Linked DNA regions of Oryzias latipes. The protein of the gene in region 1 purifies or fractionates together with the protein of each later gene. This does not show direct contact. Links are inferred from orthologs where the notes say so. Each region holds a gene or a part of one and is shown on either strand. Other genes may lie near its edges.

The links. Proteins that work in one complex are often made in the same cells at the same time.
Region 2: the proteins of josd2 (region 1) and putative adenosylhomocysteinase 3 purify together in Homo sapiens (affinity purification with mass spectrometry; 3 studies listed by BioGRID and IntAct, counting the BioPlex papers as one, with this or other methods). This does not show direct contact. The link is inferred for Oryzias latipes from reciprocal best matches to the Homo sapiens genes JOSD2 and AHCYL2.

Annotation. Positions count from the first base shown.
Region 1 is NC_019874.2:19,500,075-19,504,658, forward strand, and holds the start of josd2 (josephin-2), read right to left. Parts: upstream 2,956-4,584; 5' UTR 2,848-2,955; exon of another isoform or gene 2,724-2,847; intron 2,596-2,723; 5' UTR 2,589-2,595; coding exon 2,467-2,588; intron 1-2,466. UniProt on the Homo sapiens protein: Cleaves 'Lys-63'-linked poly-ubiquitin chains, and with lesser efficiency 'Lys-48'-linked poly-ubiquitin chains (in vitro). May act as a deubiquitinating enzyme.
Region 2 is NC_019881.2:6,482,016-6,485,515, reverse strand, and holds part of putative adenosylhomocysteinase 3, read left to right. Parts: intron 1-2,245; coding exon 2,246-2,389; intron 2,390-3,500. UniProt on the Homo sapiens protein: May regulate the electrogenic sodium/bicarbonate cotransporter SLC4A4 activity and Mg(2+)-sensitivity. On the contrary of its homolog AHCYL1, does not regulate ITPR1 sensitivity to inositol 1,4,5-trisphosphate.

The DNA of each region.
Region 1 (4,584 bases):
TCTCCAGACCTGCACTTTGTCTGTGGCTTCATCTCTGCAGAAGAGTTATCTATTTGTTTGAAATACAATCATTATTTTGTTCCAGAAAAATATAAACAGTATAAACATCTGGGTGTGTTTAGCTTTTATTTTATTGGTCAGACTTGAAAGAAACATTATCCATTTAAATTCAGATGGAAGTTTTTGCAGAAAAAAAAAAAAAGATATGTACGCTCACTGGGCACTTTGTTAGGTACACCCATCCAACTGCCCGGTAACAAATTTGCACTGAGCCAATCACATGGCAGAAAGTCAATGCGTTTAGGCATTCATGGTCAACACAATCTGCTGCAGTTCAAGCCGAGGATCAGAATGTGGAAGAAAGGTGATTGTAGTGACTTTCAAAGTGACCTGCTAGGATTTTTACCTACAGTGATGAAAGTCAGGCAAGGAAAAAATCCCTGAACTTTTCTTTGAGCGATATGGCGGGCACAGAGCGAAATTTTGGAAAAATACGTGGTCTTAGATGCATTCTGGCAACTAGTTATTCACTTCTTTATCAAGAAACTAAGACTAATTGGAGCATCATGATTTGTCATTCAAACCCCTAGTTTGACTCTCCATTAAGGACTTGCTGGTCCTAAAAAAGAATTTGGAAAATTGCTCAAAGTAACACAATCCTACAATCTACGCTTTTCCTTAAAGCTGCAAAACATACAATTGCTAAAATATAGTAACATCAAAGCCCCAAATGGCAAAAAGAACACCAGTAACTATGATATTCTATGAAAATACCTCAGTTATTTATACATTATTTCTGCTTTAGAAATGACTGATGTACAACATCCACTTGCACTGTTTTCTCAAACTATAATTACATCAAAATATGGGATCTGCTTTAAACTATAATTCTATAACATAATACATCAATTCTTTAACACCAATACTAAGTAATCTGGGAAATATCAAAACAAACATACAAACTAAACTAAACATTGTAAACATTATTTTTTAAGGGAGTGCGGGTCCAAACCATCAAATACTTATAATTAATGTCAACTATACTGAACTAAATCATGGTAATTAGGAAATACAAATAAATTAGATAGAGAAATGTATTCAAAATAAAAACTGAAACTCAAAACTAAAATTGAAATTATTTCAAAATGTGGTTTTGAGATTATTTTACACAAAAAAGTATTTGACCTACACTACCTTAAAAATCTTTTTTTTCCAGCCAAGACCACTTCAATTTGTTTTTTATCGTCTTCTCACAACTGAGGTCGTGACCACGCTCAATAATGACGATGCCTGCCATTATTTTAACACAAATTTGATCGCAAACTCTTCAGATGTGTTTGTGAAAATTTAGCGTGGGTCCGCCAGTTTTGGTCTCTAGGGAAGCGAGTCACGCTGACCACGTGGTGCAGACAGAGCCAATCGGACCCGTCGACGCATCCGAAAGCAACTAAAACGTCCCGTCATTGGTCAATTAGGCCGGGAAGACGAGAGATGGCCACGACCATAGAGGAAGCGATCTGCTGAGAAATATAGAAAATAAAGCTAAAATTAGCTGATTTCAGACCATTTTTTAATCCGGAAAGCGATTTGTCCGTAGAGATCAGGTCTTTATTTCCCGGAAAGTACGTTCGGTTTGCTCAAAAACCCGGATTTCCGGGAATTCCCGGAAGACTTTCATCACTGTACCTACAACCATCTCTAGGGTTTGTAGGGAAAATATCCAGTGAGCAGCAGTTTTGTGGGTGGAAATGCCTTGTTGATGTCAGAAGAGAATGGCCAGACTGGTTCCAGCTGATAGGAAAGTAACAGTAACTCAAATAACCACTGGTTACCAAGTTCTGCAGAAGAGCATCTCTGAACGCACAACACGTCCAATCATGAGGCAGATGGGGTACAGCAGCAGAAGACCTCAACGGGTACCACTCCTGTCAGCTAAGAACAGGAAACTGATTCTAAAATCGTGCACCTTGCCTGGTATGATTAGTCTCCATTTCTGCAGCAACATTCAGATTGTAGTGTCAGAATTTGCCGTCAACAACACGAAAGCGTGGATCCATTCTGCCTTGTATCAACAGTTCAGGCTGGTGGTGGAGGTGTAATGGTGTGGGGGATCTTTTCTTTGCACACCTTGGAACCCTTAGTACCAGCTGAGCATGGTTCCAACACCACAGTCTTGTTGAATCTAAGCCACAAAGGTTTCAGGCAGTTGTGAAGGCAAAAGGGGGTCCAACACGGGACTAGCAAGTTGTACCACATAAAATTGGCCAGTAAGTGTAAATATTCAACTATGATGACCTGGGGAAATCGAGACTGTTTTTGTTTGTTTTGTTTTGTTTTAAGCCTTAAACACGAACATAAACAAGGAAACTACAAGTACCACACATTACAATACATCCAATGTGTTTCAATATATGCTTTTTTTTAAATTGAGAGAATGGGTACAAGATCATGTCAGCACGTTGTTACCGTTTACAGATGTCGTCAGCCGTCTCCTTGGTAAACACTCGCTCCTGAAGCACGTTGTTGAGCGCGTGAATGGCGCACAGCTCCAACCGTTGCTTCTCATGAAACACCTCGGCTTCGCTCATTCTATCGCTTTCCGTTTCAAACACAAAAACGTGGACGTCAACAAAACCAGAATACACACGTCACTCATGCTAGCTAGCATCAGATATAATATGAGAGGTTAGCACCAGCTAGTACAGTAGTTCTTATCTTCTTACCTGAAAAGAAGCTAACTATGACACCCTGGTGGAAGTTCACCAGCTGGCCGCTCAAAAAGTGGTTTAGAAAGTAGCAGCAGCGCGAACTATTGTCACGCCATTACAATGAAACGGAGCTCGTTACCTGCTGATAAAGCAAATCCACGTTTTATTGACGCTGGAGTCCGTCAGCTACATCCAGAAACCGGAAGCAGAGTCTTTGTCGTGTTGTTGTTCTACAAAAAACACGCCCCCATGCTTAAAGAGTCCCACAGAGCAACACCGAAACACGAATTTTCTTTTATTTACCAAGTACATATAGCACTAAATAAACGCAAAAAAATATTTCTGGTAGTCCGCGCGATTGTTTTTAATGTTTTTAAGCAGGTCAAAATAGCAATAATGTAAGCTTGCAACGTCATCTAGTGGCAGCTTTATTAATTTCAGTTGTGGCAGAGAGGAGGTGAAGACAGACTTTCAGATATTTTTTCTCTAAAAGAAAAACAATACACATTTATATTAAAAAATAAAACACGAAATATTTCATATGGATTATTGTCTTTCAACTTAAGAATTTTTTTGATGGAGAAATTACTTGTGATGATATTCATGAATGTTGATGATAATGTTACATTTTCCTAGAATGCAACATGTCTACTATATCTGTGATTGACTGGATAACATCATATTCAGTGAAAGCAAAACTGCTCTGAGCAGGAAATACTGTGTTCAATCCAAGAGATACAAGTTGATAGCCATTACAAAGGCAGCAAAATGTAAGATGAAACTCCATTGTTGAACCTTTCTGTTTTGAGTGAACACATTTCAGCCATACAGGACCAATGAAAGGAGAGATATTCATAGAACAATATTTAATAACAAATTAGATAATTTGAAGATGCCATGAGCACTCCATCAGTTATTTTTTAGTCTGATATTGTGTCAGATGTTGCTATTCTGAACCTTTTACAAATCTTTTAATGTATGTTATGTGTTGAATTTAGAACTGAAGTTGTTCTTTGTCAAAATTGTTGAATGTTAGTGTATCATGTTCTGATTTTTTTTAAAGTTATGTCTGTTGTCTCATTTACAGTGATTTCTGTTGAGCTTTGTAGAATGGTAATAAAAAGACCTTCTTATCCTCTCCTACCTTCCTTTTGAGATTAAAAAAAAACCCTGTTTTATCTACATTGTCTCTATCAATGTTGTGTCCAAATTGGTTACCATTCCCAGTTATATGTTTGATTTTTGCACAAGAGGTCCTGAGGACACTATTGGGTTATCTGTTTGTGTGCTATTTTGCATTTGGCGCTGTTTCTTCCTTCATAAATGCACAGGAAACTTTGAGATGTACAAAGACCTGCATAACATTTTTTAAAGATTTCTCACAGAACATAAGCCAGTTTTGAGTACAATGTTTCAAAATCAAATTGTGCAAAAACAAGCATTAGATCACAGCAATGCTAAAATAGCGTTCTATTGTCTGATAGTTGCGGGGTTTGTTTTTATGTTCATAGATATTTAGGACACACCACTAAATTATTGGTATTTGTATGATGGACAGTCATTTAATATTATTATTGGCCTACAATTTTTTTTGTTAGTCCAAAATCCTGCTCCAAAACCAGGAAAGCTGTCCTCAGGTTGAGGCACCATGTTTATTGAATGCCCTTATCCTGTCAGTGTCCCTGATTGACTCTGTTGTGTCCTTTTATAAAAAAGCTAACATGCATTTGTTTAGGAAAGGTTAAAAGTAATGAATGTGAGTGTATGTGGTTGTGTGGCTCAGACAGTCCAGGGTGTACCACACCTGGGGGTAGTTAGAATAGACTCCAACAACCGCCACAGGGAGTGTTTAGAAAATGCATAAAAAGGTGCTTCA
Region 2 (3,500 bases), on another chromosome or scaffold:
GTCAATCACAGCGAGGGATGTGTGTTGTGTTTACTAAACATATGATAACCGTTGTGTTCACAACACAAACAATATCCGAATAAATTAACATGACGAACTTCTTTTTAGAAGAACAAAACAACTTAAAAGACCCAAACTGTCAGGTTTTAATTGTTTCAAGCTGTTAGACATTTTGTTGCTTTAACCCAGTAAAAACAGGAGTTTTTTTGTTAAAATTCATCTTCATTTGTAGTTTTAAATGCCAAATAAATGCTAAATATTAAGATTGCATCCATTACGGTAAAAGACTTGGTCTATATCATATTTCCACAAAGTTACTTGAATCTGAGATGCGTATTGAGTCATGTGAGAGGGAAATATACCCAACTCTAATATGCAGTCATGCACGGTTTCATGGGACACGACCACAATACTGATAGATGGGATTTCTGATTCAACAAATTGTAAACTAAATTCAGTCAGTCAAATTTCCAGCCTGACCCATTCCTTGTTCGATTATACAGTTTTCACATAATTAGTTATGCAAGATAATAATTTTATTAGTTAAATTAAGAAAAGTTACTTTAAAAAAAGGAGGCAAAGCTGCTAATTTGCCTAAATGTCAAAGAAATTTCTATAAAGTCCCTTTTCAATGAAAATGGTGTTTTTGGTGTTTTAACATGTACATATGTGGTTTTCTGAGGACATGTATGACAAAAATCACGCCTAAATTCCATTTCGGAGTATTTATTCTGATTTTGCTGAACATATGCAAAAATGCGCTGGGCATGCCACATGCTCCCCGCTCCCAGCAATGAGGAGAGGAAAGGAGGCGGGGCTGCTCCACACCAACAGCCACGCCCACAACTCTGAGGCACATTTCTAATGAACTACTGCCGCTCTGCAGAAACTATGTCCTAGAAAATGACCGGCTAAAAACAGCATAATCGTAATTAAAAGATTGTAACAATTTAAAGTAGATCAAGAGATATCTGTGCTTCTTTAAAACTATATATATATAAATAAATCATTTTACTTTTTTTGGGTGAAGTTTGATTCATTAGTTTACCTGCATGACACATGGGTCAATCTACAGTCATTTTGACAACCATGGACTTGTCAATTTAGAGAATGCAACACGTTAACCAGGTTTCCCCCTGTTTTTTGCTTCTTGCAGTGATCAGCTGCAGTTTCTCTCATGTTTCGCTGGCGGTAAAAGGATTGTTTGCCTGCGTCACTGTCAGTGTTCTGGCAGGTGGAGTGAGACAAAGGAGAGTCTGTGAGAAAGGCTATACTGTAGCTCTCTAGGGCAAACCCAGGAGCCAGCTGTGCTGGAACAGAAACTGTTAAACCACGTGAAAAGGACAAATGGTGCCTTCTTCCAGTTATCTTTGTGAAATTGGGGATGACACTGCCGTCATGTACCTGTCCTGCACCTGAGAAAAGGGTGTGTAGTTGGTCGTGCTTTGTTTATGCTCCCAAAAATGAATACAAATTGAACGACGAGATTTGACTGAATTGTAGAAAAAGATTTTTTACATTAAAAGTAATTAAAACAGAATAAAGGTGGAACTTTTTAGTAATAAATGTAAAAGCTCTTACATTCTTAAATAACTAAATGCAACTATTTTTCTGGAAGAGTAGAAGTAATTACATTTAAGATCCTCTCCGATCCTCTTTTGATTTATTGTCAGTGATTCCAGTGGTCTTTCAATTATGATTTTGCAGTTTTTAGCCAAAAAAACAAAAAACCTAAGTCGTTTTCTAGGACATAGTTTCTGCAGAGCGGCAGGAGTTCATTAGAAATTCTGGGGCGGAGCATGGAGCTTGTGACCCATCCAGTGTATTTTTTTTTTACGTCACAAATACAACCATATTAAACTGCATTTTTTTCATCTGCTCCTGATTTACAGGGATTTGAATAACGTAACCCTCAGTACGAGGGTTACGTTATTCGACGATTCATAGATTTTAAATTTTTAGGTTTTCTTTTTTTAATCCAGCTTTTAGGGTGATTTCACATGGGAGTGGTGCTCTCATTCCTGAAGGTTTACTGCCCCTACAGGAGGCATCAGACTCTATGCTTATTTAGGATCTTTGCCCCACACAGGTCACATCTTAGGGCAGAAGGGGGAGCCTTTAGTTTTTAAGAAGTGAACAGGAAAAAAAAAAGAAAAACTGAAAAGCATCCAGTTTTCACTAACTTGTTGTGCTGCAGCTTTTTTTTTTTTTTAATCTGGGAAAAAAACTTTGTTTTTGTTTGCAGCTGCATCGTACACGGACAGCTCTGATGATGAGACCTCCCCTCGGGACAAGCAACAGAAAAATTCCAAAGGCAACGGAGATTTTTGCATCAAAAACATCAAACAGGCCGACTTTGGACGCAGGGAGATTGAGATTGCCGAGCAGGGTGAGTTGGTCACGTCATTGACCGATCGGACATCATTGGTCCGATTGGTCAATGATGTAAAGGAATCCATCTGATTGGTCAAATGCATAAAATACTTCAGGGTAAAAATAATCCAGAACAAATTTTCCCTCTGAATACACCCAAGAGGACCCTGGTCCGGGTCCAGGAACTGCTCATCTTAGCCAATAACTGAAGAGATCTTTATTCACGTGGTTTTGTTAACAAGCGTCGGTCCGGAACAGAATGGTCTACTTGATGCCAGTCTGAAAACAGACCAAACGATCCGGACCAAAGGGTTCATCCCATCCGAAGACACCCTGAAATGATGCAATCAGACCCGCTTTCCGATCACCTGATCAGTTTAGATATCCCTAAATTAAACAGGCGCAGCAATGAGATGGCTCCCAAGGGACCGTCAACAAAGAGCAAACTCCTGGAAAAAGTGATTAAAAAAAAAAAAAAAGAATTCCACGACTTCTTAAAAGACAAACTGATTAAAGGTTGCATTGATATAAGCCAGTCATGAATACTCACAATCATATTCATGCTACAACAACAGTTTAGGAAGAAATTCTTTTTTTTAAAGAATTTTCAATGAATTTATCATTCAATCATACTGAAGATCCTAAAGTTATCATCACTAAAGTTTCACACATGACTAATTATCACCAATTTCACTAGTTATTAATTAGTTTTTTTTTCTAGTTCTATTTTTTTTACTTTAAGCGACTTCATAGAAGTGCTCTGTTTGAGTGTTAAATGATCCAAATAAAATAAAAAATTGGGAAAAACCTGGATCTGTTTATTAGATTTTTTTTTAAATCAGAACTCAGCAGATGCATCAAATTAAATAGCCATAAAACCTGATCAGGACATCCCTTCCTTTTTTCTCTGTTGTGCAAATCGGCCACGTCAAAGGAGCAGCTGGTGGCGCAAATTTACCAGTCGGTTTCAATTAAACTGTTGCAAATGGATTTTCAAAGTGAAGCGACAAAATAGTGACGAGCAAAGTGGCTAAAAAGCGTTTTTCTGTCTGTACAGATGTGTATGTGACCCTGCCTGGGAAACCTGCTGAGCAGCCACATGCTACCTTAAAAAACAAACAAAAAAA